Danio rerio: one gene and its partners. Each later gene encodes a partner of the first gene's protein in a complex. Links are inferred from orthologs where the notes say so. Each region holds a gene or a part of one and is shown in the gene's direction. Other genes may lie near its edges. The genes, in order: smx5, lsm5, snrnp200, lsm7, prpf8, sart1 and lsm3.

The links.
Region 2: smx5 (region 1) and lsm5 share a complex: the UniProt entries of both Homo sapiens proteins name them as parts of the precatalytic spliceosome. The link is inferred for Danio rerio from reciprocal best matches to the Homo sapiens genes LSM2 and LSM5.
Region 3: smx5 (region 1) and snrnp200 share a complex: the UniProt entries of both Homo sapiens proteins name them as parts of the U4/U6-U5 tri-snRNP complex. The link is inferred for Danio rerio from reciprocal best matches to the Homo sapiens genes LSM2 and SNRNP200.
Region 4: smx5 (region 1) and lsm7 share a complex: the UniProt entries of both Homo sapiens proteins name them as parts of the precatalytic spliceosome. The link is inferred for Danio rerio from reciprocal best matches to the Homo sapiens genes LSM2 and LSM7.
Region 5: smx5 (region 1) and prpf8 share a complex: the UniProt entries of both Homo sapiens proteins name them as parts of the U4/U6-U5 tri-snRNP complex. The link is inferred for Danio rerio from reciprocal best matches to the Homo sapiens genes LSM2 and PRPF8.
Region 6: smx5 (region 1) and sart1 share a complex: the UniProt entries of both Homo sapiens proteins name them as parts of the U4/U6-U5 tri-snRNP complex. The link is inferred for Danio rerio from reciprocal best matches to the Homo sapiens genes LSM2 and SART1.
Region 7: smx5 (region 1) and lsm3 share a complex: the UniProt entries of both Homo sapiens proteins name them as parts of the precatalytic spliceosome. The link is inferred for Danio rerio from reciprocal best matches to the Homo sapiens genes LSM2 and LSM3.

What each region holds. Positions count from the first base shown.
Region 1 is NC_133181.1:30,702,522-30,706,709, forward strand, and holds smx5 (smx5), read left to right. Parts: upstream 1-1,388; 5' UTR 1,389-1,464; coding exon 1,465-1,467; intron 1,468-1,883; coding exon 1,884-1,951; intron 1,952-2,063; coding exon 2,064-2,094; intron 2,095-2,186; coding exon 2,187-2,246; intron 2,247-3,108; coding exon 3,109-3,234; 3' UTR 3,235-4,169; downstream 4,170-4,188. UniProt on the Homo sapiens protein: Plays a role in pre-mRNA splicing as component of the U4/U6-U5 tri-snRNP complex that is involved in spliceosome assembly, and as component of the precatalytic spliceosome (spliceosome B complex).
Region 2 is NC_133187.1:13,906,748-13,910,727, reverse strand, and holds the start of lsm5 (U6 snRNA-associated Sm-like protein LSm5), read left to right. Parts: upstream 1-1,180; 5' UTR 1,181-1,262; coding exon 1,263-1,308; intron 1,309-2,070; coding exon 2,071-2,166; intron 2,167-3,407; coding exon 3,408-3,435; intron 3,436-3,980. UniProt on the Homo sapiens protein: Plays a role in pre-mRNA splicing as component of the U4/U6-U5 tri-snRNP complex that is involved in spliceosome assembly, and as component of the precatalytic spliceosome (spliceosome B complex).
Region 3 is NC_133183.1:33,107,129-33,110,628, reverse strand, and holds part of snrnp200 (U5 small nuclear ribonucleoprotein 200 kDa helicase), read left to right. Parts: coding exon 1-73; intron 74-145; coding exon 146-334; intron 335-1,781; coding exon 1,782-1,979; intron 1,980-2,198; coding exon 2,199-2,351; intron 2,352-2,446; coding exon 2,447-2,527; intron 2,528-2,612; coding exon 2,613-2,696; intron 2,697-2,792; coding exon 2,793-2,899; intron 2,900-3,467; coding exon 3,468-3,500. UniProt on the Homo sapiens protein: Catalyzes the ATP-dependent unwinding of U4/U6 RNA duplices, an essential step in the assembly of a catalytically active spliceosome. Plays a role in pre-mRNA splicing as a core component of precatalytic, catalytic and postcatalytic spliceosomal complexes.
Region 4 is NC_133197.1:10,401,045-10,405,205, forward strand, and holds the start of lsm7 (U6 snRNA-associated Sm-like protein LSm7), read left to right. Parts: upstream 1-1,361; 5' UTR 1,362-1,376; coding exon 1,377-1,382; intron 1,383-1,624; coding exon 1,625-1,715; intron 1,716-1,818; coding exon 1,819-1,890; intron 1,891-4,161. Other genes in the region: sass6 (spindle assembly abnormal protein 6 homolog), read right to left, coding at 335-439, 559-638, 728-788, 939-1,003. UniProt on the Homo sapiens protein: Plays a role in pre-mRNA splicing as component of the U4/U6-U5 tri-snRNP complex that is involved in spliceosome assembly, and as component of the precatalytic spliceosome (spliceosome B complex).
Region 5 is NC_133190.1:30,766,022-30,770,260, reverse strand, and holds the start of prpf8 (pre-mRNA-processing-splicing factor 8), read left to right. Parts: upstream 1-1,439; 5' UTR 1,440-1,558; intron 1,559-2,162; 5' UTR 2,163-2,173; coding exon 2,174-2,294; intron 2,295-2,393; coding exon 2,394-2,562; intron 2,563-2,662; coding exon 2,663-2,827; intron 2,828-3,224; coding exon 3,225-3,443; intron 3,444-3,522; coding exon 3,523-3,735; intron 3,736-3,813; coding exon 3,814-3,939; intron 3,940-4,034; coding exon 4,035-4,140; intron 4,141-4,221; coding exon 4,222-4,239. UniProt on the Homo sapiens protein: Plays a role in pre-mRNA splicing as core component of precatalytic, catalytic and postcatalytic spliceosomal complexes, both of the predominant U2-type spliceosome and the minor U12-type spliceosome.
Region 6 is NC_133196.1:30,364,959-30,367,784, forward strand, and holds the end of sart1 (U4/U6.U5 tri-snRNP-associated protein 1), read left to right. Parts: intron 1-1,882; coding exon 1,883-2,004; intron 2,005-2,088; coding exon 2,089-2,107; 3' UTR 2,108-2,326; downstream 2,327-2,826. UniProt on the Homo sapiens protein: Plays a role in mRNA splicing as a component of the U4/U6-U5 tri-snRNP, one of the building blocks of the spliceosome. May also bind to DNA.
Region 7 is NC_133197.1:33,572,435-33,576,720, reverse strand, and holds the start of lsm3 (U6 snRNA-associated Sm-like protein LSm3), read left to right. Parts: upstream 1-1,486; 5' UTR 1,487-1,549; coding exon 1,550-1,570; intron 1,571-1,763; coding exon 1,764-1,874; intron 1,875-4,286. UniProt on the Homo sapiens protein: Plays a role in pre-mRNA splicing as component of the U4/U6-U5 tri-snRNP complex that is involved in spliceosome assembly, and as component of the precatalytic spliceosome (spliceosome B complex).

The sequences.
Region 1 (4,188 bases):
AGTATATCAAAATAAACTACAAAATACCTCAGCCACAAAATGTATCAAAATAAAATACAGTATTTTTGTATTTTAAAAAATTCTACAAAATATTTTTAAATAGGAACATGATATTTGTTGGCAAACCTTTCATTAATAAGCCCATTTGATCAGTCCCTTCACCATTAAACTGATTCTTTAATACTCAGTGTAAAAACATGATTTCTGAAACTTTCAAAAAATTATCTTTTTTTGCAAATAAACTTTTCATATATTATATCATGTTCCTTCTGTATAACCTGTCAGAAGTTTTTAATTATTAAATGTGCGTTTCTCATGTTGTCACTTTTACATGTTTAGGCATACAGTACATCTTTCTTTTTCATTAACAGTACAGTGCATCTGCAGATCAACTACTGGCATTTGAAACAGCATCGGAATCGCCACTCATTTATTCATTCATTGTCTTTTCGGCTTAGTCCCTTTTGTAGGACTTATTGTAGGACTTATTGTTATGTTGTTTGTTTCAGTGACAAACATTTAGCATCAAAGTATTTTACAATATTTTAAACTACAAAAATAAAAGACATTAATGTATTTTTAATACAAAACATTAAGCCATTTCCATCAACCCTATCATAAATACTGCCCATCCCTGCTTATATTCATTCTAGGTAATTTTCAGAATGCTTGCTTTTAAAAACAGGAGAATGCATATTAAAGCATAATGTTATAAGAAGGCTCTATATGTTTAGGAACATTTATCTTTAAATTATAGAGAATCCAAAATCCATTTTTATTTTCAGAAATGTTGAAAACTTGTAAGCACTGACATTCATAGTATTTGTTTGTCATACTATTAAAGTCAATGGTTACAGGTTCCCAACGTTCTTCAAAATATGGAAAGATCAAGATGGTTTTAAACAAGTAAATTGATTAAATTGGCTGAATTTACATTTTTTGGATGCACATAAATACATAATCGTGAAAAACATTATAATCATTAGCATGTCGTGGAGGTTTTGTTTTGTTTTACAATATAGCGTTTTGTAAGTGGACTGCTTTTTTGTTTTATAAATGGGGATAACGCAGAGGATTAACCTGAGCCCTGGACTGTGCTTTATTATTATTTGTCTCCATCTGCTGACGAAAGAGGGAATTGCCAGAAAAGAGGAGCCATGTACGTGTATCAGCAAGCTCTGTGTCAGACATGTCATGTACCTCTTCGGGCATAAAGTTGACTGTTTTAAGAAAATATTTCACATCCATTGAACATGCGCCTTTTAATCTCTTTTGTGTGATGAACGATTGCGGAATAATTTACTGAGATGAGTACAAATGACGCAAAAACAGAACAAAACGCCAACAATTTCGCGACCAATGGGATTTTTACGTCTTCATTCTTCTAGCCAATAGAAGCACAGAGTGAAAGACCCGGCAGCTTTTTGATGACGTATGTGATCTAAAGCACAAAGCCGCGTGAAAATGGTAAGTGTTGTTATTTAGCAATATCATACAGTAATTTACGTTTAAGGAATTAATAAACGTGCTACGACCATTTGTTTAACATATTTAGGTTTTTTTGACCACTGTGTTCGCGAGAAAGACAAACAATGCTTCATGCTAACAGCTAACGCTAGCTTTCTTCATAGCCAAATAAAACAACATTCTCAAGCAAGGATTATCCCCTTAATTAAATGCCCAACAGAAACAACTCTGGCTGACTCCTATTATATTAAAGTCTTGGTATTTCATTTGCCTGCGTAATTTAGAAAGCAGTGTTATTTGCTGTTGACATTTCTCATTTGGTCTGTTGATAAAACTTGATTCAATCGTTTTATCGATGTCTTATTTGCTGTCCGCCTCATATTTTGAGAGTAATTCCTTCAAATGTTTATTCTCAGCTCTTCTACTCGTTTTTCAAGTCTTTGGTTGGCAAAGATGTTGTGGTGGAGCTCAAGAATGACTTGAGGTGAGTGCTCACCTTTCTTTTACAAATATTATATATATAATTAGAAATTGAATATACATATTTTATAATGTATGTGCCAGCTCGTAAAACTATGAACACATCTATTTTGCAGCATATGTGGAACATTACATTCAGTTGATCAGGTACGGAAACTGACTCCACACGTTTATTAATATAAACAAATATTGGGCGATTTAGGATTAAGTTAATCTTGTCATTTGTTCTTCCCTCACAGTACCTGAACATCAAACTGACAGATATCAGTGTTACTGATCCAGAGAAATATCCGCACATGGTGAGAAATGGATGAAATGAAAATTACACTCATAATCTTGGGTCTAATATCTTTATCAATGTCATGGAATTTTAAAAGGTTCATTTCAGACATTGAAATTTAGGAAATGTTGATATATTTTTGTCAGATTCATGGAATAACAGGGATTTTTTGTTTGTTACTTTACATTTTAGCTTTTCTTTATTAAAATATATTTGATATTTACAGCCATGCAAACCGCAAGTATTTTTTTTTTATATTAAGTAAATTATCATTTGTTGTTCTCATAGTGGCTATTAAATGAATGTAATAAAATGGCTAAAACCATTTCAATATATTTTTAATTTAATATTACAATTTTTTATAAGCACTACAGAAGCCTGTTATGTTCATGTCATGGTTGATATATTGGTTTATGGTAAAAGTACAGAAATTAATACTATGAAAAATCTGAAAATAGCAAGTGTAGGACCAATTTATTTTAAAGAATATTCAAAATAAAATTTTTTTTTGAATACTAAGTCATCTTTATTTTTTGAAATATGCAATAAAATATTTTCAGATTCTCATATAACATTGCTTTGGTTTTATTGTCAAAAAAACTAACTAGAAAGCAAGTGTAGAATTGCAACAGGATTTTTTTTTGTAAACCAACAATGCTGTGTAGTGAAAACCATTATTTAAAACGGTGAAAATACGGTCAACCATTTGATAGAGCAGGCAGCTAAAGGGTTAAAGAGGGAACCCTGATAATTGAATTGATTCCTAAATTAATGTAGATCAGGTTATTAAGTCTGTGATTTATGAATTGTCATAGTGATGTAGGTGCTCAACAAGGAGAACTTTGGTGTATATAGATGACTCTAATATTGTTTTGTTGTAGTTGTCTGTGAAGAACTGCTTCATTCGTGGATCAGTGGTGCGATACGTTCAGCTTCCTGCAGATGAAGTGGACACACAGCTACTACAGGATGCTGCACGCAAAGAAGCTACACAACAGAAACAATAATGTTTATATTTGAGAATAGTTTGGTTTTGTTCCAATGTTCAGAAGCATCATCTGTGGAGTTTTGTTGATTTAAATGTTTTTCTTACCTAAAACATGTAAAGTTTTTTTTTTCTCTTTCATTTTTACGTCATGTGAAGCCTGTTATTGAGGGTGTGATTTACTGTTTTTTTTTTTTTACTTCACAAGTTAGTGGTTGTGTGCTTTTAATGAGTGTTGGTAAAGTTCTGTACTGCATACCAATGACTTTTAGTTAGGTTCACACATTGATGCAAAAATAAAGTATTTTCCTCTGTTTTCACACTTTCCTTTTGGTGGAAAAAATCGTCCATTGTTGGAGTTCAGCTGACAGCATTTTACAAATTATGTTCGTGGAATGCTGGTGTTTTGGTTTAGGCAGGCATGTCCAAACTCGGTCCTGTAGGGCTGGTGTCCTGCAAAGTTTAGTTCCATACCCAATCAGACACACCAGGGCTAGCTAATCAAGCTCTTACTAAAAACATAATTGCAGATGTGTTGAGGCAGGTTGGAGCTAAAATCTCCAGGACACCGGCCCTCCAAGATTGAGTTTGGACACCCTTGGGTTAAGGTGAATGGATAGTTTAGCAGAGGTGTCAAACTCAATTCCTGGAGTGCTGCAGCCCTGCACAGTTCAGTTCCAAGTGTATTGGAGCAGGGTTGGGTTTCAAAGAAGCCCGAAAGATTTAATTACTTTAATCTGGTTGTGCTTACTTAAACTGAACTAAACAGTGCAGAGCTGCAGCCCCCCCAGGAACTGAATTTGACACCTGTAGTTTACAGCCTAGTCCCAAACAAAAAAGTAAGTTGTTTAGAGTAAAAGAAACTCGTAGTTACTGTTCCTAAAATATACCAGTGCCTTTGTTTTGTGTTTTTTAGGCACTTTTATGCGCTAATAAAGTAATCATGGCTTTATCAAAGCGAATGTAGACCACACTA
Region 2 (3,980 bases), on another chromosome or scaffold:
TTTGGTCCGTCATTCCATCAGAGAGGAGATACTGGGAGATGGAAAAATTAATCAAGCTATAATCAAGCTATAAAACTCCAAATTACCGTGACAAATTACTGTGACATACAGTTTGGTAGCCTATATGATGCAACATTTTGACTGACTGACATGCCCTTTAAAAGAAAAAACTTGGGTAACACTGCTCTAATGTTACAGCCACAGGCTGTACAAAAAGCCAAGCCCCTCTCATGCTATCGATGTAAACAAAGTAGTAATCTGTTCAGATTCATCTTCAGCCTTAGTTAGTATAGCAAACTCAAAATCAGATAGAGAGGATTTAATAACAGAAATCTATTTATCTTTATATAGATTAAAGGAAATAGGAGTAGTCGTTTATTTCTGCTGGGTTCCATCACATATTGGGGTATCTGGTAATGAAGTTGCTGACAAATTAGCAAAGGAAGCACTAAATAAGCAAGAGGAAGTAAATGTACCTCTGGGGAAAAGAGAGGCAAAATCGATTTTAAAGGAAAAACTAATAAATAAATGGCAAATTAGATGGGATAATAGTAATACTGGAAGATGGCACTATAGTATTATACAGACAGTAGGGACAACACTAAATCAAGGAAGAAATAGGAAGGAAGAGGTGTGGTTATCAAGATTAAGATTGGGACACACAGGGTTAAATGCAACACTTGCGTTAATGGGTTTACATGAGGATGGGAAATGTGATGTATGTGGTGTAACTGAAAATGTGGATTATGCACTATTTATATGTAGCAAATATAATAAACATCGCAATATGTTATTCAGTCAGTGTGGGGAAGATAAAACAATATATAAAATTATTCTAGGAAAAGGTATAATAGATTGGCAAGTATATAGAGCGTTTATTAGGTATATAGAGTATTCGGATTTAGGTTATTATAGTCTTATATTTATGGATGAGAGTATTCTCAATCATTGTCATAAAGGCCCTTTATGTTAGAGGAGCTGAACACGCAGTGCTGACATGAGTATGTGGTCTAGATGCAAAGATTGGACAATATGAAACATCCAAGGTGTTTTTTTCCCCCCTTTCCCTCCCTCCTCGTTTCTTTTTGTTGCCCTTTCATCGGAGTAAGATTCGGTACAGTAGGTGGCGATAATGCTTTTAATTGTTAGTCGCCATAAAACAGAAAGAAGAAGAAGAAGAAGATGCTATCGATGTGTGCTGATATCGATTATCCATGCTTGTAATTGGCTTCCGGTCCCGATTATTCAGGTCTGTTATCAAAATGGCGGCAATCACAGCAACGAATCCTTCGCAGCTTTTACCACTCGGTTTGTTTCACTTTCTTTAAAATTGCTTATCATTTACTGACATAACTTTTGTGTTTTTGTACGGGGCAGAGATGCCAATCAGTCACGTTCGTAACTCACTTTGCTTTTTTATCTAATTGAATACACCTGTGCACAAAAGATGTGGCCCTAATCATGTCAATGTGTTTTTATTTTAACTTAAATATTTAATTTCACAAATTTATACATCAATGTGTGATTGATTATATATAAACGGAAGCCAGTTCATTTAGTTAGTGTGGGCGAAAAAAATAAATCACTAATATGTTTCCCTCTGTTGGAGTTTAAAATATTGTAATTATGACTTGGGAACACATTTATCATTAACAATTTCCATTAAGATGTATTTATAAGTAAGATACTCTGAAAATAAAATTTTATGTATGAGTTACGACATTAGAGATACCGTGTCAAATGATTAAAAGCCACTCCACTCTTTACTCGCAGGATTTTTTTGTTGTTGAGTCAAATAAGCCTAAAATTAGTACTTTAAAGAATGAATTTGGTATTAACATATTACTCAATCCCACACCTAGTGTTAAAGCCAAAGAAATTTTAAATTTTATTAAACGTGGTTCGTTAAAAACTTACCTTGGCTGTATAGTTGTTGAAGTAACGTTTAACATAAATTGAATTTCTTTACAAGGTTTTACAGTTGTATATCACACTGACCACTCAAAATGTTTCCTTTAACAGCCAATGATGTGACTGTGTTTATGATGGGGATTGTGTGCTGTCTTTCAGAGCTGGTGGATAAGTGCATTGGCTCTCGGATTCACATCGTTATGAAGAACGATAAAGAGATTGTGGGAACTCTGCTTGGGTTTGACGACTTTGTCAGTATCCTTTACCTACTGGCGGTAAAAAAATAAACAAAACACTGTCAAATATTTGTGATGTTTACAATTTAGTTTTGGATTCAACTTTTTTTTTTTTTTTTTTTTTATAAATACTGCTAGCTAAAGATATAGTTACACATAAGATTTCCCTTTATTTCCCTTAGTCCGTTTATTAATCTGGGGTCGCCACAGCGGAATGACTCGCCAACTTATTTAGCATATGTTTTACGCAGCGGTTGCTCTTCCAGGGTGGAAAATGGCATAACGGCAGCAATGGTTACTGAACAACAACGTTGTGGAATCAGTCTGCCTAAAGAATGTTCATTAGCCTGTGCTTTAGTTTTAGCATTTTAATATAAGAAAATGTCCAACAAAAGAACTCTATCATATTTACAGACTCCAAATCATGCCTCCAAGTGATGGAATCTTCAGAAAATGATCATCCTTTGATTAATGATATTATAACTAAAGTTCACCATTTACAAAACCATTTTTTTTCATATTTTTTTTTTTTTTTTTTTGCTGGGTTCCGGGACATGTTGGGCTTTCAGGAAACGAGCGAGCTTGATCCAGCAGCTAAGGATGCTTTGAAATAAGTTGTGAACGAATGCCAAATTCCTCTTTTAGAGATGAAATCTTTTATCAACGTTTACTTTTTAAATAAGTGGCAAGAGGAGTAGGATGCATTGAGAAATAATAAACTGTATGAAATACAACCTGAAATCTCAAACTGAATTTTTAGTCATTTTAAGACTAAATTTGATTTAGTGATTTTTACTAGATGTTGTATTGGACATGCAAGAATGATCCATGCTTTTTTTTTTTGCTCAAATGTGAAGACCCTGCTCAATATTTGCACATCACACTTTCTTTTACAGTAAAACAGATTTTACTGGATTGTCCTGCTTTTAACAATTCCAGAAGGCTTTTTTTTTTTTTTTATCAAATGATGTCTCTTCAGGACATTTTTAGCAAAATGACACCTGGAAAATAGTAAAAAAATTATAAAAAAATGTATTAGCATTTAAAGATGTATTTAATTTATGTATTCATTTGTTTTTGTTTTTTAATTGTATATTTATTATTGAAATGTTCTTGCCATGAAAATAGCCTTGCATTGCTGACATGGCATTAAATAAAAAAATACAATACACTACATCACATGTTGTCAACAGAGAAATGTAAATGTCTATGTAATGTTATCTTTGCGATGTTGTACATTTCCTTGATGCTTTACATCAGACATGGTCCTAGAGGATGTCACAGAATTGTAAGTATATTTCCTAAACAAAAATATTAAATATTTGCTTAATTGTCTTTGCACAGTGTATTCATGCATTCTCTTCTGCTTTGACTTAAAGGATAGTTCCCTCAAAAATTTTAATTGTCAACATTTACTCAACCTTCTATTGTTCTAAATGCTGTTCGAGTTTCAAACGATCAGTATCCTGTCTCCAAAATTTTAGGTGTTTGTTTTATTAGGATAAACTATCAATAAAAAAAGCACTTTCGTTCTAGAGATTAACTAAAGCTCAAGTTTTATACCATTAGACTATTTATACTGTATTCTAATTATTCTATAAACTATACTGCATAGAGAAGGCATTTTCTAATCTTTTTAGAAACTTTTTTTAAAGTATGCTTAGTTAGAAGTTCAATGGTATTAGCAAATTTTTATCACTATTGAAACCGTTTAATATTTTGTGACATTATTATTAAAGAATAATTCCAAGTATTATCATTGATTAAAAAAAAAAAAAAATCAATTGAATGTGAAGTGTACTTGAATGTGAAGTGTACACTCATGTATTCAAG
Region 3 (3,500 bases), on another chromosome or scaffold:
AATCAAAGGCACACAGGTTTACAGCCCAGAGAAAGGCAGATGGACGGAGTTGGGAGCACTGGACATCCTACAGGTCAGTGTTTTTCATCAATCTTTTAAGAAGTTAATTGAACTGTGGGTAATAACTCTTGACTTTTTGGTGCAGATGTTGGGTCGTGCTGGCAGACCGCAATATGACTCTAAAGGAGAGGGTATTCTGATCACTTCTCATGGAGAGCTGCAGTATTACCTGTCCCTGCTCAATCAGCAGCTGCCCATCGAAAGCCAGATGGTGGGAAAACTAGCTGACATGCTGAATGCAGAGATTGTGTTGGGCAACGTGCAGAATGCCAAGGTGAGTTGTAAATGCATTTGGATTAGGGTTATGGTTAGTTTAATAGCAGGTGTTTTTTTATATAGGTTTAATTTAATTAGTTTTTTGGTGATATATCAAAGGCGGTTTTAAAAAAAAATTAACTGTCTACTTGTGGCACCCCCTTTATAAGATGTGGAATATATACATAGATTGTAATTTTACATATTGCTGTGAATAATAATCATTAAATAAAGATACCATTATGCCTAGTATTTTCCAATACTTCTGGGGGGAAAAAATGAATGTAATTTTTATATAACTTTTTAACTAATTTTAAAAACATCAGTCATAATTTTTACTCAATATTTATGAAGTTGAAAATGTTGCTTTGCTAATGCTTTCTGTGTCTTCCAAATTATAGTTTTTGATTGATTGTGAAGCATATTGTTGAAGAATTTGTTTTCAAAATTAAAGTTGTTTATTGTACTTGAGTAAATTGGCAAAATATTTACTTCATATTCACGCAGCACATGTTTTTTTGGCGTTGATGTTAACAGATTAAAGCTTTCATACTGCGCACAGAAGCAGCGCATAAGCACAAGGTGTGAGCGCCACTGAAGTGATATTTTCAGCGGTGGGTCTATTTTTGCCGCGCTTCTCACGCTTAAATAAAGTGACAAAAAAATGACCAAAAGCACATTGAATGATAGTAAAAAGTTGTAATTTTACCCAACAAATACATTGATAATATCCACTGGTTTTTATATATTCAATCAAATGAACTTAAACGAATAAAAACAGCAACAATTATTTGTTTGGGCCCGAACTACAAAACTAAATTTAAAACCATTTTAGTATCAGTTTTGCTTCATTTGCACACTGGTTTGATCACGTATAAATATTATTATAACTTTAATCCTACATTATCCTGACAGTCAAAAACAAAATGACATGATACCACATGTCTAAAAGACATAAATGACACTCCTCATAGAGCTTGAGACGCATACAGTTCTTTAAGATCTATATCATTTGTAAAATAAAGACTTGCAGGTCAAGGAAACAGCCTTGGAGGAAGTTGCCCTGGGCCTTGATGCAGATGAAAAGTAAAAAAAAAAAAGTGCATAGATGGATAGATAGATTAGACAGAGATAGATTGATCTGTGCAACAGCTGCTGATGAGCTGTGCGCTGCAGGCGCAGTCAGTGTGAAAGGCAAATGCCTTCGCGCTGCCTCTACTCTCCATACCACTGCTCACGCTTGCGGTAAAAAGTACAATAATGTATTTCTCATTATTATTGCACTATTTGACTATTGGAACCTTACCATTACTAGATTTATTTCCAGAATTAAAGTTTTACATTGTCATTTTTCTACAGCACACACTTGAAAATATTATTTTCTACAGATAATATTGCACATGCTTAACAGCAGTATTTCTCTGTAAATTCAACATCTCTAGCAGTGATTGGTCTATTTTTTTTAGGATGCTGTAAATTGGCTGGGATACACATACCTGTATGTGCGCATGCTGCGTAACCCCACACTATACGGCGTGTCCCATGACGACCGCAGCATAGACCCCCTGCTGGAGCGTCGCAGGATGGACCTGGTGCACACGGCAGCTACCGTCCTGGAGAAGAACAACCTGGTCAAATACGACAAGAGATCTGGCAGCTTTCAGGTACACACTGTTCTTGCTCATCACATTAACCACTGCTCTAAACACCTCTTGGCACATCCAGATGATTTATATGCACAATCAATGCCGAGATTGTACCAGCTTGAAATCCCCCAGCATGGCATAATGGATTTCAGCACGGCTGCCTGAATCTATTGATTAAATATTTAAACGGCAGCAACAGATGTGCTTTAAATGATGGCTAATGTGTTTGCATTGAAGGTGACAGACCTGGGGCGCATCGCCAGTCATTTCTACATCACCCATGAGTCCATAATGACTTACAACCAGCTGCTAAAGCCCACACTGAGTGAGATCGAGCTCTTCAGGGTGTTCTCGCTTTCATCTGAGTTTAGGAACATTACTGTCAGAGAGGTACGTGCCTTGTTTTATTTAACCAGACGAATTGGTTCATCCAAATATCTGCTTCCAGGATTTAACAAGCGTGGTTCTTACGTTCTGATTGACAGGAAGAAAAACTCGAGCTTCAGAAACTGCTCGAGCGAGTCCCTATTCCAGTGAAGGAAAGCATTGAAGAACCCAGTGCAAAGGTTTTTTTTTTTTTTTAAATACATGTCAGTTGTACGTGAAGTTGGCTGATCCTTTTTTATCTTAAACGTTATGTCTATTTTTCAGATTAACGTGCTGCTGCAGGCATATATCTCTCAGCTCAAACTGGAGGGCTTTGCTTTAATGGCTGACATGGTCTATGTGACGCAGGCGAGTGTAGAATAAAATCTTGTCTTATAATAAAAAAACATTTTTCCCTTCAGTCTGACTGATTTCCTGTATTAACATTGTGTTCGACTTTTGCAGAGTGCTGGCAGGCTGATGAGGGCTATCTTTGAGATTGTTTTGAGCAGAGGCTGGGCCCAGCTTACCGACAAGACTTTAAACCTCTGCAAGATGATTGACAAAAGGATGTGAGTTGTCTTGATGTTGACTTTGGAAAGAATAATTATATTAGGGTGTCCACTGGGCCTTAAAGTCTTAAATGTGCTGAAACATTGTATTGTAGGTCTTAAATCTTTTTAAAACAGGTCTTAATTTTTCTTTGTTCATGTAAATCTACATAATCTGGCCAACACCAATACAACAATGCAACTTTTTAATTAAAAATTTCATTTTTAACTCTGTTTACCATAATAGTTTAATTATTTTCCTTACTATAGCATTTGTTTAGAAGTTATCCATATATTAACTGCAAAGGATACTAACCTGACATATCTATTATTATTAAAATATTATAATTATTATTTTATTAAATTATTATTATTTTTATGATGAGGCAAGTGAAAATCTTTTCCAACTGTGATATTCTAAAAAATATCCTTGCGTTTAGCCCTGTATAAGTCTAAAATTTCATTCATAATGGTCTTTAAAATGTCCTAAAGTCTTAAATTTAACTTGGTGAAACCTGCATAAACCCTGTATATACATTTGTCTTGTCATGTGATGTTCTATCATTTGTTTTTGTTGTTTTTCATCAAGGTGGCAGTCAATGTCTCCATTGCGTCAGTTCCG
Region 4 (4,161 bases), on another chromosome or scaffold:
CATTATTTGATTTGAAATTTAGAAGAAAAAAAGAAATGTTTTCAAACATGTACAGACAAATACAAATATAGAGTTTTCAAGGGGTCTCTTTATTTTTTCCCATAGATAGATAGATAGTTAGATAGATATTTATAAAATTTTATATAAGTTTCATTTCAAAAAGTTTATATTTTTGAAATAAACACCAAACAGTATTAATATTTGACTCAGTGAAGAACCAATAAGAAATTTTTGTCCTGAGGTTGACTAAATCATCAGTAATTATTGACTTTAGCCTGTCTATCACTTTAACAACTGCAACATCTGAACATTATTATGAATTATAACCTCTTACCGTGGGTTTTCTTTGTCCTGTTCGCAAATGCACTGTTCAAGTAAGTCTATAAATTTTTGTGGGAATGATGTGAAGTCTATTAAAAGCCCTTGTTGTACTTTTAAGCTGTGAAGAAGAGCAAATAAAAACGATTACACAGAATATAATCACATAGAAGCCTAATAGCAAAGTGTTGAAAATAAATATGGCTCATTGATGAAATGACACTTTTAATACCACAATACCTTTGAAAATCCTCCTCTGATATGATAAGGTTGTATAAAAAGTAAAGATCAGTATCATCAGTCAGCCGTACAACTAAATCCTGTTGATCAAAAATTTAAAAAAAGTTATAAGACCACATAAAACATGCTTAAAGGCATAAATATGGTTGTACACATGTTAATAACAAACCTTTCTGTGAACAGGGCTGGATGGTAACTGCAGTTCAATGCTAACGCGAATAACCGAACGCCTGTAGTAACAAAAACAACATATATAAACACATATAGACCCTTACAGACTTCGAAATGTTAATAATTACAGACAAAATAAAGCCAAAATTCATACCATAAATCAATTTAAGTTAGGCATTGTGTTCAAAAACAAGACAATCAACACAAACCTCTCATCGGTATCTTTACTCTTCACCAGCACCTGCAACCGCTTGTTAAAAAGTAATTCCGTCATTCCTAATTCATTCACAAAGCAACGATAATAATTAAAAATCGTGTAATCCTGTTTTAAAGATGTTATTTAGGTTGTTGAAAGACTCATTTGTTTTTCGCGCTTCACTCCCGCGTTTGTCCGTTTCCAACCGGAAGTGAGAAACACTTCAACCTAATCACGCGTATCATCGTATTTCAACATGTTTTTGTTTTTATAAATCGTATAATATAGATATAAACATTTAAAGCTGTATATACTGTGTAGTTGTGCGTGAATAAAGCTGATAAAATTGAAAACATTTGATATCAGAGTTCACCTGCGCGCGTTGTGATTGGCCGAGAGGTAGACGTCAAACGTGAACCCGGAGTGGGCGGGGCGTAGAGGAGTTTTGAACATGGCGGTGAGTAGCGCAAACGTTTCCACACCGTTCACATTATAAACACTTTTAAGGACAAACGGCGTTATAAACAAACATATAAGCACCTGAATATATCCTACACTCTTGATATTTATGTTGTTACACATTAGGGTGTGCTGGTAATTGTAAATGTGATGTGTGGTGTATTTTTGTGCTAAGCTACGAGTCTGATATTTATTATAGAGGCCTGGAGATTGTTATATAATATGTTTTTGGATCCTCAGGACAAAGACAAGAAAAAGAAGGAGAGTATTTTTGATTTGTCGAAATACATCGACAAACATATACGTGTAAAGTTTCAAGGAGGTCGCGAAGGTGAGGGAGTTGCTTTATGAAATTAATTATGAATTTAAATGTTTCACATTATGATATTTAAATGAATTGTGGTAAATTTGACACTAGTGTTTCCTATTTTCAGCAAGTGGCGTCTTAAAAGGCTTCGACCCGTTGTTGAATCTTGTGTTGGACGGCACCATTGAATACATGCGAGGTAAAATGTGCTAATGTAAACCGAATATGTACCAAATTATGTTCTGCATTAAATTTCTCACAGTATTAATGTTAGTGTGGTTTGTTTTGAACAAATTTTAGTGTAAATGCTGCAATTTAAATTATAAAATTAATCAATTTATTAAATTATAAATTATATAAAGCAACATACAAACTCTTGTGGGTTGACTGATATATAAATGCATCTAAATCAACCCAAAGAGGACATGATGCCATGATATTAAACATAAAAAGGCAGAATGCTCCAGCATAGCTATTTTTGTCAGCATAACAATGTTGCTCCTTACCGTTCAGTTCAGGCATCAGAAACAGTCTCAGCAGATCTTCATTTGGGTGTGTGTGAGCCAGAGGAAATTCTGGTGTTGGTTTGACACATTTAATATGGTTTTCTGAGAGAGTTTAAATGCACTTGAAGTTAAATAGTTCACCCTAAAAAAATGAATACTGTCATTGTTAGGCATGGGCTGGTATAAGATTCTGACGGTTGATAACCTTAGGTTGAAATATCACAGTTACACAATATCATGTTATTGTACATACTGCTCCAAAATATTTTATTTTTAAATGTCTGAGTAAAAAAAAAACTTTTCCCCCATTGAACATGGTTTATATTTTTTAACATTTAAAATATTTTGAAACTATAATGTCAGGCTAAATAATTTATTGTTTATTAATTGTTGAATGTCATTGACTTCTGCTGTCTTAATTAGTTTCAAAAGCACAGATTTCTTTTCAACTTGAAAAGGCATCTTTGGATATCTTTCTTTTCTTTGGATATAAAAAAAATCATCTACACTGTTCAGCTCTACAGCATGCTGGATGTTGGTTTATAAGAGATTTGTTTTTCAGATGTTTCCTGAATCATGGTAACTTGTGATGTGGATGGTCCTTTTCTATTGTTGCCCAAAAAAACTCAATAAAATAGTCGTAAAAAAAAAACTTACAAATACCTTGAGAACGGTATAACAGACAATTTTAACGTTTTTAAAACCTTGACTTTTCAAACCGCGATAAACCTTAAAACAGTTATTGTCCCACGCCTAGTCATTGAATACTCACCCTTTATATGTTTCAAACCTTTTTGAGTTTCTTTCTTCTGTTAAACACAAAAGAAGATATTTTGAAAAATGCTGAAATCTAGTAGTGAAACGGTTAGTTTTCGGATAAACTATAACTAAAAAAAAAACAACAACAGGTAAATAGAAAAACACAGATTGAGAAAGCTGAGACACATATTCCTGAATGTGATAATATGCACCGAAATGTGTCGGGGGACCTGAAAATGTAATGAACCCGACCCTCTGCTTCCTGTTTAGAGGTGGTGGTGTTGTCAAAGAGCTGAGTGTTTTACTTTAACGTCCTAGTTGTATGATTCCCTGGTGTTTGGATAATTTTAGCTTTAAATGCTGACAACACCACTGTCTCTAAAAAGAAAGCTGCCCCAAAGGTCCCCCAAAACATTTCTATGTGCATATTTTGGAAGTTGCATTCACGTTACTAAACTAATGACGATTAATTCTCAGTTTGTAAGTGTTTTTCTATTTGCATGTTTACACTGCATTTGTCCTCTCTAGGGCACCGTATTTAACTGATTAAAAAATGTGTGCATGCACATACAGCAAACAAGTGTATCTAAACATACAGAATTGTTTTGAAAATTTAAAGTCACAGAATCCACCGCGGTGACTGAAGCTCTGCACATGACTTTTGGTCAGCGGAGAAATTAAAATGGTCGTGCCCAACTGAGTCTGGTTCTCTCAAGGTTTTTTTTCTTCACTCCTATCAGGTGAAGTTTTTTTCCCCTCTCCGCTGTCGCCACTGGCTCGCATGGTTCAGGATTGGTAGAGCTACGCATTGATGAATTTGCTCTTCAGTGTTTGAACTCTCAGTAATGATTTTAAATCACACTGAACTGAGCTAAACTGAACTGAACTGAACTTAAACACTAAAATCTGAACTACACTGTTCCGGTTACTATGACCATTAATGTGAAGCTGCTTTGACACAATCTACATTGTAAAAGCGCTATACAAATAAAGCTGAATAAGCTGAATTGAATGTCATAAATGCAGCTGCTTTTCTGTCAAAAATCAGAGTATGAAAGCTTGACAAACTAGGACTATGTATAATTTTTTTGTTTGGTCCAAACAAACTGACTAAACTACAAGTGTTAACACATCCGAAAATACGAAAAAACCCCGCCCTAAGAGTAAAGACATCTGTGTTTGACTATTATCATTATATCAATGGT
Region 5 (4,239 bases), on another chromosome or scaffold:
CCGTTACTTATTATTTAATTTGGCAGACACTTTTTATCCAGCTATACTTACACATGAGTCGAATAGAAGAAACCTAATCAATAAAATAATAATAACAAAAATTAAGACTAATGCAGTAAATAAAATAAAAAAGAATGGAGAAAGGTGGCCTTTAGAAGGACGAGACAGCCTCTGATTTAAGCTGTAATAAACTCCTTATCAAACTTGCAAAGTTTCACAAGTAAGCTTTGGAAGCAGGTAAACTTGATTTCTGCCACAATTGTTTTCAACACATCTATAATATGGAATTATCAGAATGTGCTGTAGAGTAGAAAATCTATTTCTATTAAAGAATTGGTGGACAGAGGAATAGTTCTTATTTTAGATTTATTAAAAAAGGACGGTAACATTTACTCTTACTTTGAGTTTTCTGCAATTTTCTGAAGGGATACTTAGCCCAGAGTATGATTTGGTTATAAAATCTATTTTAACAAAACTATTATATTTGACTAGAACCTATGCTTATACAGACTTAAAATGTGAAATGCACAAATTAGTTATTTATTAATTAGCTATTGGATAAATTACTTATATTAAATGTAATAATTAGCACATTAGAAGAAATTTTGTTAATAAGTCTAGCTTGTACCGAAAAGCATTTTATAACTTTAAATTAAATTACCCGGTTCTATCCCTCATTACAATTTGGCCTGGTATCAATACGTTTTTAGTACCAAATAAGATGACAGAACTTTATTTTAAAATCCTTCATAATTACTATCCCTGTAATTCTTTACTATCTAAATTTAATAAAAACAATTCTTTACAATGCACATTCTATAAATCTAATAGTACAACAGTACATTTATTTTTAGACAGAATATCTTGGCTTGTCTTATCAGCTTATAAAATCCTTATTGATTTTAAGACAATTATTTTATTGTTTTTGTTTTGGGAGTCAGATTGTAAGGAATTGGACAGTGTGTTGACATTTTTACCTCTTTGTGGCCTTTTCCATCTTCACAAATGTAGAGTTATTCAGTGTTTGCCTAATAGAACATTTTGTATTGACTTAAAACTTTATTATGAATTGCTAAAGAAGAAAGCTGCCAAGACAACTGAAATGCTGAAGATATATATATATATATATATATATATATATATATATATATATATATATATTTATATATATATATAAACATTTTATGTATTGTTTTTTCTTAGCCTTTGTAACATCTTTGTAACTAGCTGTACAACGAATATGTATCATTAGTATTCTGGTCACACAATATTAGGACAAATTAATGTTTTATGTGTCCCCTATTACTAATGTTAGTAAAAAATTAAAAAGGACAGCGAGACTTTTCAAATCCGGTGTCATATCCGGAAGTTGGGTCCTACGCATTTTCTTACGTTCGAAGTCGTAGCTTGTTATCATTTCCGTTGAGGTAGAATTGTTCAGATACGTAAGCGCTTTGGAGAATGGAAAGACTCTACGCACAACGTGCATAGTACGCCATTCCGCTGAGCACAAAACCACCGTACAACTACAGTCACTGGCGAGAAACTGCTTTTAACTGTAAGTTATTTCATTCTGTACGAGCTTGTGCATATTTTATTTGCAAGATTTCAAAGTATCACTTACGATTTGAAACTGTTTGTTTCCGGAAACGGTTTACTTGTTGTGTAATATTCGGTAAGCTAAGCTAACATGCTAACTAATGCGTTATCGATGCCACAGAAACTAATCAAACCACATACATTCATACACACCAGTCGTAAATATTGTTACTTAAGATAAAGACTGTGTAAAAGTCTACCCGGTGGCTGTCTTGTGTAAATAAATAGTTTCTAGATTATTTTTCGAAGGTAAGAAAAGAGTTCAGGCGCGATAGCAAGTTAGTCGGCTAAGTTCATTGATGTGATTGTTATGAAAAAAATGTGATTAAGTTATGTACTTTAAAGCTAGTTGATAATACTTCCACATTTTAGTTTCTTTTAGAACGATTAAATTAGCATTAGTTAGGTCAGTCTTCCTGCTTACTGAATTCTTATTTAGGTTTTGTTGTTGTTGTAGGCTTGTGAGGACGTGTTTTATTGAAATAATTGTTGTCTTTTCTGTGCGTTACTCATGTTTTGCAGTGTAACCTTCTATATTTATGATTTAATGTTTCTGCTTGCAGTAGACGCTGCCATGGCAGCTCCTTTCCCCTACAGAGGTCTTCCTGGACCAATGCCTCCAGGTGTTCCTCCACCTCCTCCTGCTGTTGCTCCAGTGCCAGATTATATGACTGAGGAGAAACTGCAAGAGAAAGGTGCGTTGGCAAAATTCTTGAGGTTAACAACGGCATGCAATTTGTACCCAAGACTCAAAGTTTGTTTCCTTTTTTTCAAATGAAATCTCCTTCTTGTAGCTCGTAAATGGCAGCAGCTGCAGGCCAAGCGCTACTCTGAGAAAAGGAAATTTGGCTTCGTGGATGCTCAGAAAGAGGACATGCCACCAGAACATGTGCGCAAAATTATCAGGGATCATGGTGACATGACGAACAGGAAATTTCGTCATGATAAAAGAGTCTACCTAGGGTAAGAACATTTGCATCATTACAAAGGTAGCTGGTTTTTATATGATTATCATTATTAAAGTTTTTTTTATGTAAAATTAATTGTTGTTTTTAATCTGCAGGGCCCTGAAGTATATGCCCCATGCAGTGCTCAAACTGCTGGAGAACATGCCAATGCCCTGGGAGCAGATCAGAGATGTACCTGTGCTCTACCACATCACAGGCGCTATATCTTTCGTGAATGAAATCCCTTGGGTTATTGAGCCAGTGTACATTTCTCAGTGGGGGTAAGTGGCTGTGTGATGTCACTTGTGAGAGGATAGATTAGTGGGAAAAAATGTTGGCTAAGGCCATTTGTAGTATTTTCTTGGGGTGCTGCGTAGTTGTGCAGTAAATTGTGGTTATGCGACCAAAGTGTAATTTTAGCAGTAAAAATTGTCATATTATTGTAATTAATTATTAACATTAAAACATCTTATCATTACCGTATTTCAAAGTAAAACAAGGAAAATTAAATAAATTAATTTTTTTGTAATATTTTGCTTGTCATATTTGAGAAGGAAATATTTTGATTGAAAGATTTATAGTGCCCTTTTTGGGGAGAAGCTGTAGCAATATTGTTTATTCAATTTTTTATTTTTTTTTATTGTTTTATAATGTTTAAACTGTTTCTCTTTACACCAGCACAATGTGGATCATGATGCGTCGTGAGAAGAGAGACAGACGGCACTTCAAGCGCATGCGTTTCCCGCCATTTGATGATGAAGAGCCTCCTTTGGATTATGCAGACAACATCCTGGATGTGGAGCCTCTGGAGGCGATCCAGATGGAGCTGGACCCTGATGAGGACTCTTCTGTCACAGACTGGCTCTATGAGCATCAACCTCTGAAAGACACCACCAAGTGAGTGTTGGGGACAATTTTAAAAATATGGTTACTTGCTTCATTTGTTTATGGTTTGTCTTTTTTCTTCCTTCCACAGATACGTGAATGGGACCACATACAGACGATGGCAATTCACTTTGCCAATGATGTCCACTCTGTATCGATTGGCTAATCAGCTGCTGACAGACTTGGTGGATGACAATTACTTTTACTTGTTTGACTTGAAAGCTTTCTTCACCTCTAAAGCTTTGAACATGGCCATTCCTGGAGGACCTAAATTTGAGCCACTTGTCAGAGACATTAACCTCCAGTACGTACTGTGTCCTAACTGTGGTATATTTGGCAATTGCTTATGTTATCCAGGGATCTAACTTGACTTTCGTTTTAGGGATGAAGACTGGAATGAGTTCAATGACATCAACAAGATCATCATCAGACAGCCAATCAGGACAGAATACAAAATTGCATTCCCTTACTTGTACAACAATCTGCCACATCATGTGCACCTCACCTGGTAGGAACCATTATCTTTCCTTCAGTTCAATCATTCACAAAAACTCTTGAACTGATGTTTTTAAGTGAACTGTTGTTCTGTGGTGGTCTATACAGGTACCATACACCAAATGTGGTGTTCATCAAGACTGAAGATCCTGATCTACCCGCCTTCTACTTTGACCCTCTGATCAACCCCATCTCTCATAGGCACTCAGTCAAGGTCAGAAATTAATTAAACTGTATGAATTAAACGTCTGTGCATTCAGTCCACAATTATTGCAAAGTTGTATTTTCTCCATAGAGCCAAGAGCCACTGCCA
Region 6 (2,826 bases), on another chromosome or scaffold:
TAATATTTGGTTCATGAATGGGTTGGCAAAATTAACTGAAATGAGCATCCCTAACTGGATTGTTTGCACTTTGCAGGATTAAGTGTAAGATCATTTTACTTTGCTCAACCAGACGATTATACCAATTAAAAACGTCATTAGCTAGGAAAGGAGTGGTTTGTTTTAAAAATATATATTGTTTAAAATTTTATAATAATTGCTAAATACAATGTATTATATAAAATTGTTGTATTATAAATATGAATATAAATTAATTGACACTTTGACGCTACATATGGGCTTTGTTAAACTGTAAATGCTGCTGCTTCAGTGAAAACATGGAATTGGTGGTGATTTCTTTTATGATAACCCAATAGCATTTATTCATTCAATACAAAAATTATGCTTTTTTAAAATACTTTTAATAGTTTTTATTAGGAACAAATAACAAGTGGAAACAAAACAAATAATAATATTGATTAAAAACAAAAACAATATATAAATATACACATACATGTCTGTCTGTCTGTTTGTCTGTCTGTCTATCCATCCATCAATAACTCATTTCTAATAGCTGATTTATTTTATCTTAGCCATGATGACAGTAAATAATATTTGACCAGATATTTTTCAAGACACATCTATACAGCTTAAAGTGATATTTCAAGGCTTAACTTGGTTAATTAATGTTAACTAGGCAGGTTAGGGTAATTAGGCATGTTATTGTATAACGATGGTTTGTTCTGTAAACTATTAAAAAAATCTAGCTTAAAGGGGCTAATAATATTGACCTTAAAAGGGTATTTAAAAAATTAATAACTGCTTTTATTCCAGCCGAAACAAAACAAATAATTCTCCTGAAGAACAAATATTATTAGACATACTGTGAAAATTTCCTTGTTCTGTTAAACATCATTTGGGAAATGTTAATAAAAGAAAAAAAATCAAAGGGGGGCTAATAATTCTTACTTCAACTGTATATTTATTTACACAGACACACACACACACACACACACACACACACACACACACACACACACACACACACACAAATGCATAAATTCCACACATATGTACATACAAACATAAATATTACATTATCCTCTTCAAGAAATAAATAAAAAAAAAGTTTGCTAAACTTATTCTCAATGGTTCATAACCTCTAAAATTATGTCAATGTTAAAGTATGGAAAATTATATTGTCATTGTGGTGAAAGTCAGCCATTAACTCCATTTTTTTTCCAAAGATCTCTCTTTGTAATCAAAATGCATGTGTCATTATTTCAATTTCAAAGATGATGCATTTAATAGTTAATCAGAATGTGTAAAAACTCATTTAATATCAATTTAAGAGGGGAAAATATCCCAAATATGCGGATTTAAGTAATTACCAGCTGATATACAACACTGGATAAATTCTGCTTAATTATATTTAATAATCATACTTCCTATTTGGACAGATCATTTTTATTCCTAGAAAGTCTGAATGAGAAGCACATGGAGATTTCTGAATAAATAAAGAGATTCTTCACCCAAAAATACAAATGTACTCTCAATTCGCTCTCTTTTAAGATCTTCCAAAAAAAAAGAGGATATTTTATTTCTTATGTTCAACACAAAAGAAGATGCTTTGAAGAAAGATGAAAACCTGTAAACACTGACATCCATAGTAGAAAAAAAATACTATGGAAGTTTATGGTTAGCGATAAAAATTTTTTCAAAATACATTCATTTGTGTTCAACAGAAAAAAGAAACTCAAACAGGTTTGAAACAAGGGTTAGTAAATTGATTGATTTTTCTTTTTTTTCAGTATAGGGTGAACTGTCCCTTTAAGGCTGAGCTCTGTATACTATCATTGTTGTCAAACTATAAAGCTAATGTCCATTTTGCTTGTCCGTGCAGCTGCTGAAGAAGATGAGCAGCAGTGATACTCCTCTGGGAACCGTGGCACTTCTGCAGGAAAAGCAGAAATCACAGAAAACTCCTTACATTGTGCTGAGTGGCAGCGGGAAAAGCATGAACGCGTACGTATTTTATTTACACTTTCCTTTTCATTCTGTCTGTATTCTGTTCAGTAATTGGTTTTATCTTCTTCTTTTTGTTTACAGAAATACCATTACAAAATAAATCTTTATTCTGGAACAGAAGGACAGAAAATCTCACAAAATGCGCTCATTTTAGCTGTCTCCTAAACACAGTTGCAACTGGTGATGTATATACAGACATTGTCTTGTATGTGAATTTAAGTCCCTTATTTGATTTAACTTTTTTGTTTTGATTGACAGTTCTCTGTAGAACCTTATCTGTCTTGTTTTTTTCCCCTCAATAAAAACTGTTGCGATTTAAGACTGGGCTAATGTCATCTGAATATATATATATATATATATATATATATATATATATATATATATATATATATATATATATATATATATATATATATATATATATTTTTTTTTTTTTTATTTACACTGATTATATCTGGTGTGGCACAGTGGCTCATTGGTTAGCACTGTCGCCTCACAGCAAAAAGGTTGCTGATTCGAGTTGGCGTTGGTTTAATCCAGGTGCTCCGGTTTCCCCTCACAGTCCAAAGACATGTATTAAAGGTGAAATGAATAAACTAAATTGGCTTTAGTGTATGAGTGTGAATGTGAGTGTATGGGTGTTTTCCAGTACTGGGTTGCAACTGGAAGGGCATCCTCTGTGTAAATCATATGCTGGAATATTTGGTGGTTCATTCTGCTGTGGTGGATGAGGGACTAAGCCGTAGGAAAATGAATGATTATATCTTACAATGTTTTTCACTCAAGTTTAGATCAGTTCTGTTTCTTGTCCAATTTAAA
Region 7 (4,286 bases), on another chromosome or scaffold:
CTGTATTATAAATACACCATATTGAAGCGGTTTAATTATTTCAAGCATTAAATTAAGCCATTGTTAGATTTATGAAAAATCAACTTTTCATTTAAAAATCAATAAAAGTCTGTCCTAAATTTAATATAAAAGGTTTCTGCATATTGTTTTATACTTTAGAAATAAAATGATGTCATCTGAGGTTACGAGGGAAAAAGCTGCAGTTTCCACATATATCCAGCAGGGGTCCTTATGCATCTATTCATTTCAGCTTTTACTTCTTGATGCTTTAGGACCCATCCCATGCTTGAATGTCTCAGTAGTCCTTCAGCGTTAGAAGGAATGGTAGGCTATAAAATATTTTCTCAGCTTACACAGTCGATCTACATAACTGAATAGCAACACAGGCACAGGTTACTGCATCTATTTTTTAATATATATATATATATATATATATATATATATATATATATATATATATATATATATATATATATATATATATATATATATATATTTAACTGACTGTCACACATTCTCAGCATTTGCTTTTAGTTGAATTTCAAGTGCAGCAAGCTAAACTTGTTATTTATTTCTTAAAGAAATATTATAATAATTTACTGTCATGTTGTGTGACATGCAAAAGAAAATATTTAGAAAATTTTAATATTCAGAAAGTTTTTGTTTCCAATTTTTATTTGTGCTCTAGACCCAGGCCTTTGCAGAAATGTTAAACTTTTTAAAATTTATAATGGGTTTAAAATTCATTTAAAAAAAATAATCTTAATTTTTTTTCCACTTTTCTCATTTTTTTTCAGTGTGGTCAGTTTGACCTCAAACACCATAAGTTTTTTTTTTCTTTTTTTTTTTTACACATATAAAGCAACCAAATCAAGTCCAGTTGTGACTGTTTTGTTAAAGGTTGGACTGATGTGACCCCAACATTGCCTAATTGATAAAGTTGCAATTTCATATGCAAAATTGCATATAAATAAACACCAAATAGCCTACTCTTGATAACAATGCAATCCAGATGATCAGCCTCACAACTTTCACTATACAACTAAATTGTCTAATTTTCCTTTGCAGGAAATGTGAGATGGGCTTTCCCAGATATGAAAATGCGGAATTTAAAGGAAGCAGGAGGAGATGTGTTTCAAATCTAACAGGGAGGGGGAATAGTACTTCCATACTCACAAACACAAGCTTTTTTCAGGAATGTCTGTGCGATCACTGATCCATCAATGTAGAAAAGGGATGAAAAATTATAATTTTCGTAATTTAAAAAAAATAAATAAATAAATAATTGCACAGTGACATCCGGGAAAACTCCCGATCATAGCCTATGTGTATATCTTTGGCTTTGGATGGTCACAGCTTGCATTCATTTCAAAGGAGCGGTTCCCTGTACTAACATGGTGGATCTATTGACGCATTCCTTCCAATAGACAACAACAGGGTAGGCGACATCTAACGTATATATCTATGTCTAACAGGAAGCAGATGCATTTTCCGTCTAATGATTTGTTCGCGAGAGAAACGGAAAATGCATTCTGGGTAGATTTGAAAGATGGCGGACGACGCTGAGCAGGTTTGCAATTTTTGCTTTGTATAAATATTTCGTTAGCTGTTTGATTATCGCGGAGGTTAATCGTATTAATTGTGTTTATTTTTAACTAGTTGAACACACGGGTAGCCTATGCTAAAGCAGCTTGTAACTACGACGATTGTTTGCATGGACATTTTCATTCAAATAAAATACATCACTGAAATTTACTTTACAGCAACAGACCACCAACACCGTAGAAGAGCCTCTGGATCTGATTCGGCTCAGTCTGGATGAGAGGATCTATGTAAAGATGAGGAATGACAGAGAACTGCGTGGCAGACTGCATGTGAGGGGAATACTACATTACATACTCTAAGTTAGTTATACTGCACGTGAGGGAAATGCCACATAATATACTGCATACGAGGGGAAAATACTACATTAAATACACGTTTCTACTGTACGTTATTGGAAAAAATACAACCTTAAGCATATTATATAACGTTATACTAAACCTGATTCAAAATACTACATTAACCATTATATAATGTTACATAAAGTTAGTTACATTGCACGTGCAAGAAAATACTAAGTTACATTGTGTATATATAAGTTACACTAATTATACTGCACGTGAGGGAACATACTACATTAAACATTATACAGTTATACTGCACGTGAGGGAAAATACTACATTAAACATATTATAGACTCTAGTTAATCTGCATGTGAGGGAAAATGCTGCATTAAACATTATTAAATTGCACTTGAGGTAAAGTACTTTTATAGATATATTGTTAGCCTTCACGTGAGGGAAAATTCTAAATTAAACATTAAATATTATAGTTAGACTGCATGTGCGGGAGAAATACTACTTTAGTATATACTCTAGTTCACTGGTTCCCAACCTTTTTTTGCCTGAGACCCCCTTTTTCCCTGGAAAATATTGTTAGGCCCCCCTCCACATTTAATGATATAATCGCTCATATAAGTTTGCACTAATAATGACAAAAAATATTGTTTCAAACAAAGCAAAGGTAGATCTCCAGGAACAGGATTGGCCACCCCTGCTCTAGTTAGACTGCGCTTGAGAGAAAAAACTAAATTAAACAGATTATACTCTAGTTATCCTGCACCTGAGGCAAACATTAGGCATATTATATTTATCATTATTATATTTATGTTCATTCATTCATTTTCTAGTCGGCTTAGTCCCTTTATTAATCCGGGGTCGCCACAGCGGAATGAACCGCCAACTTATCCAGCAAGTTTTTAGACAGCAGATGCATTTCCAGCCGCAACCCATCTCTGGGAATACTATTTATATATATATATATATATATATATATATATATATATATATATATATATATATATATATATATATATATACTAATTAAACTACAACTGCACATGAGGGAAAATACTTATATAAATATTATATACTCTAGTTATACTGCATGTGAGGGAAAATACTACATTGTAGTTATTATATACTCTATTTATACTGCACATGAGAGAAACTACCACATTGTACATATTATATACTCTAGTTCAGTGGTTCTCAAACTGTGGTACGTGTACCACTAGTGGTACGCAGGCTTCCTTCTAGTGGTACGTGGAGGAATAAAATATGTCATGTACATGCTACACACATTTCAAAATTGATAAAAATGATGTATATAATGTCATATGACATATAGCCTATATTTCTCATGTAATCTGCCACGTTTTTTTAACTGTGCAGAGTTGTAGCTGCTTTACTGGGCCTACAAGGCTATTGTATCTCAATACTGCTCATTTTGGTGGTACTTGGAGAGACAATTTTTTTCTGAGGTGGTACTTGATGAAAAACGTTTGAGAACCACTGCTCTAGTTATTCTGCCCTTGAGGGAAAATACTACATTTTATACAGACTCAAGTTCAATTATGTCTCTAAATGTATTATGTTCTGTTATTAAAGTCACATGAATTTGGTCTGTGGATTTTTTGGAGAAAATAAAGGATAAAAACATGTAAAAGTGAATTGATAAAATCTATTAAAATGTAATAATCAAATGTTTTATCCTAATAATTGACTACACGCATTAGTGTAGTATGTAAAGTGTTTAGTAAAAGAAAGGAAACATACAGAGGATTAAAATAATATTTATATTGTAATTGTATTTAGATCTAAAATACAAGTCTAAACTAATAGTCTACAGCAGTTCTAATGTGTTATTTTAACAGTACGTATGTATATATGAACAGTATATTGAAAAATCTGTTTGATTTTAATAACAAATCACAGAGATAAGGGATCAGAAAAATGTAAATGTTTTGTATTTTACAGAGGTAAATAAACTTATGGATGACCAAAAATGTACTGAATACAACTTCCTTTGTGTGAATTAAACAGCACAACCAAAAAGGATAAATGTTGACATAAATATACTTTTATTATTTTAATATTCATTTCTTTAAATATTTATTTTCTTTTATTTACCATATTTGCATTAACAGGGCTCGAAATTGCGACTATTTTGGTCGCATATGCGCCCGAAATTTTATCTATGCGACCTTAAAATATATTTGGGAGCATTTCTGCGAGAGCTTAAAATTGTTGTGTGCAACCAGTTTGTCTGCTCTTTGTCTGCAAAAATGCAGCGCTCGGGAATGGTTTAAAACAGTTATCATGTCAACTTGTTGCAGTAAACAAATCCAAGTCCGTAATGCTTGCCCTGCCTTTGCGCTCTTCTTATTGGCCCACCACTGCTCT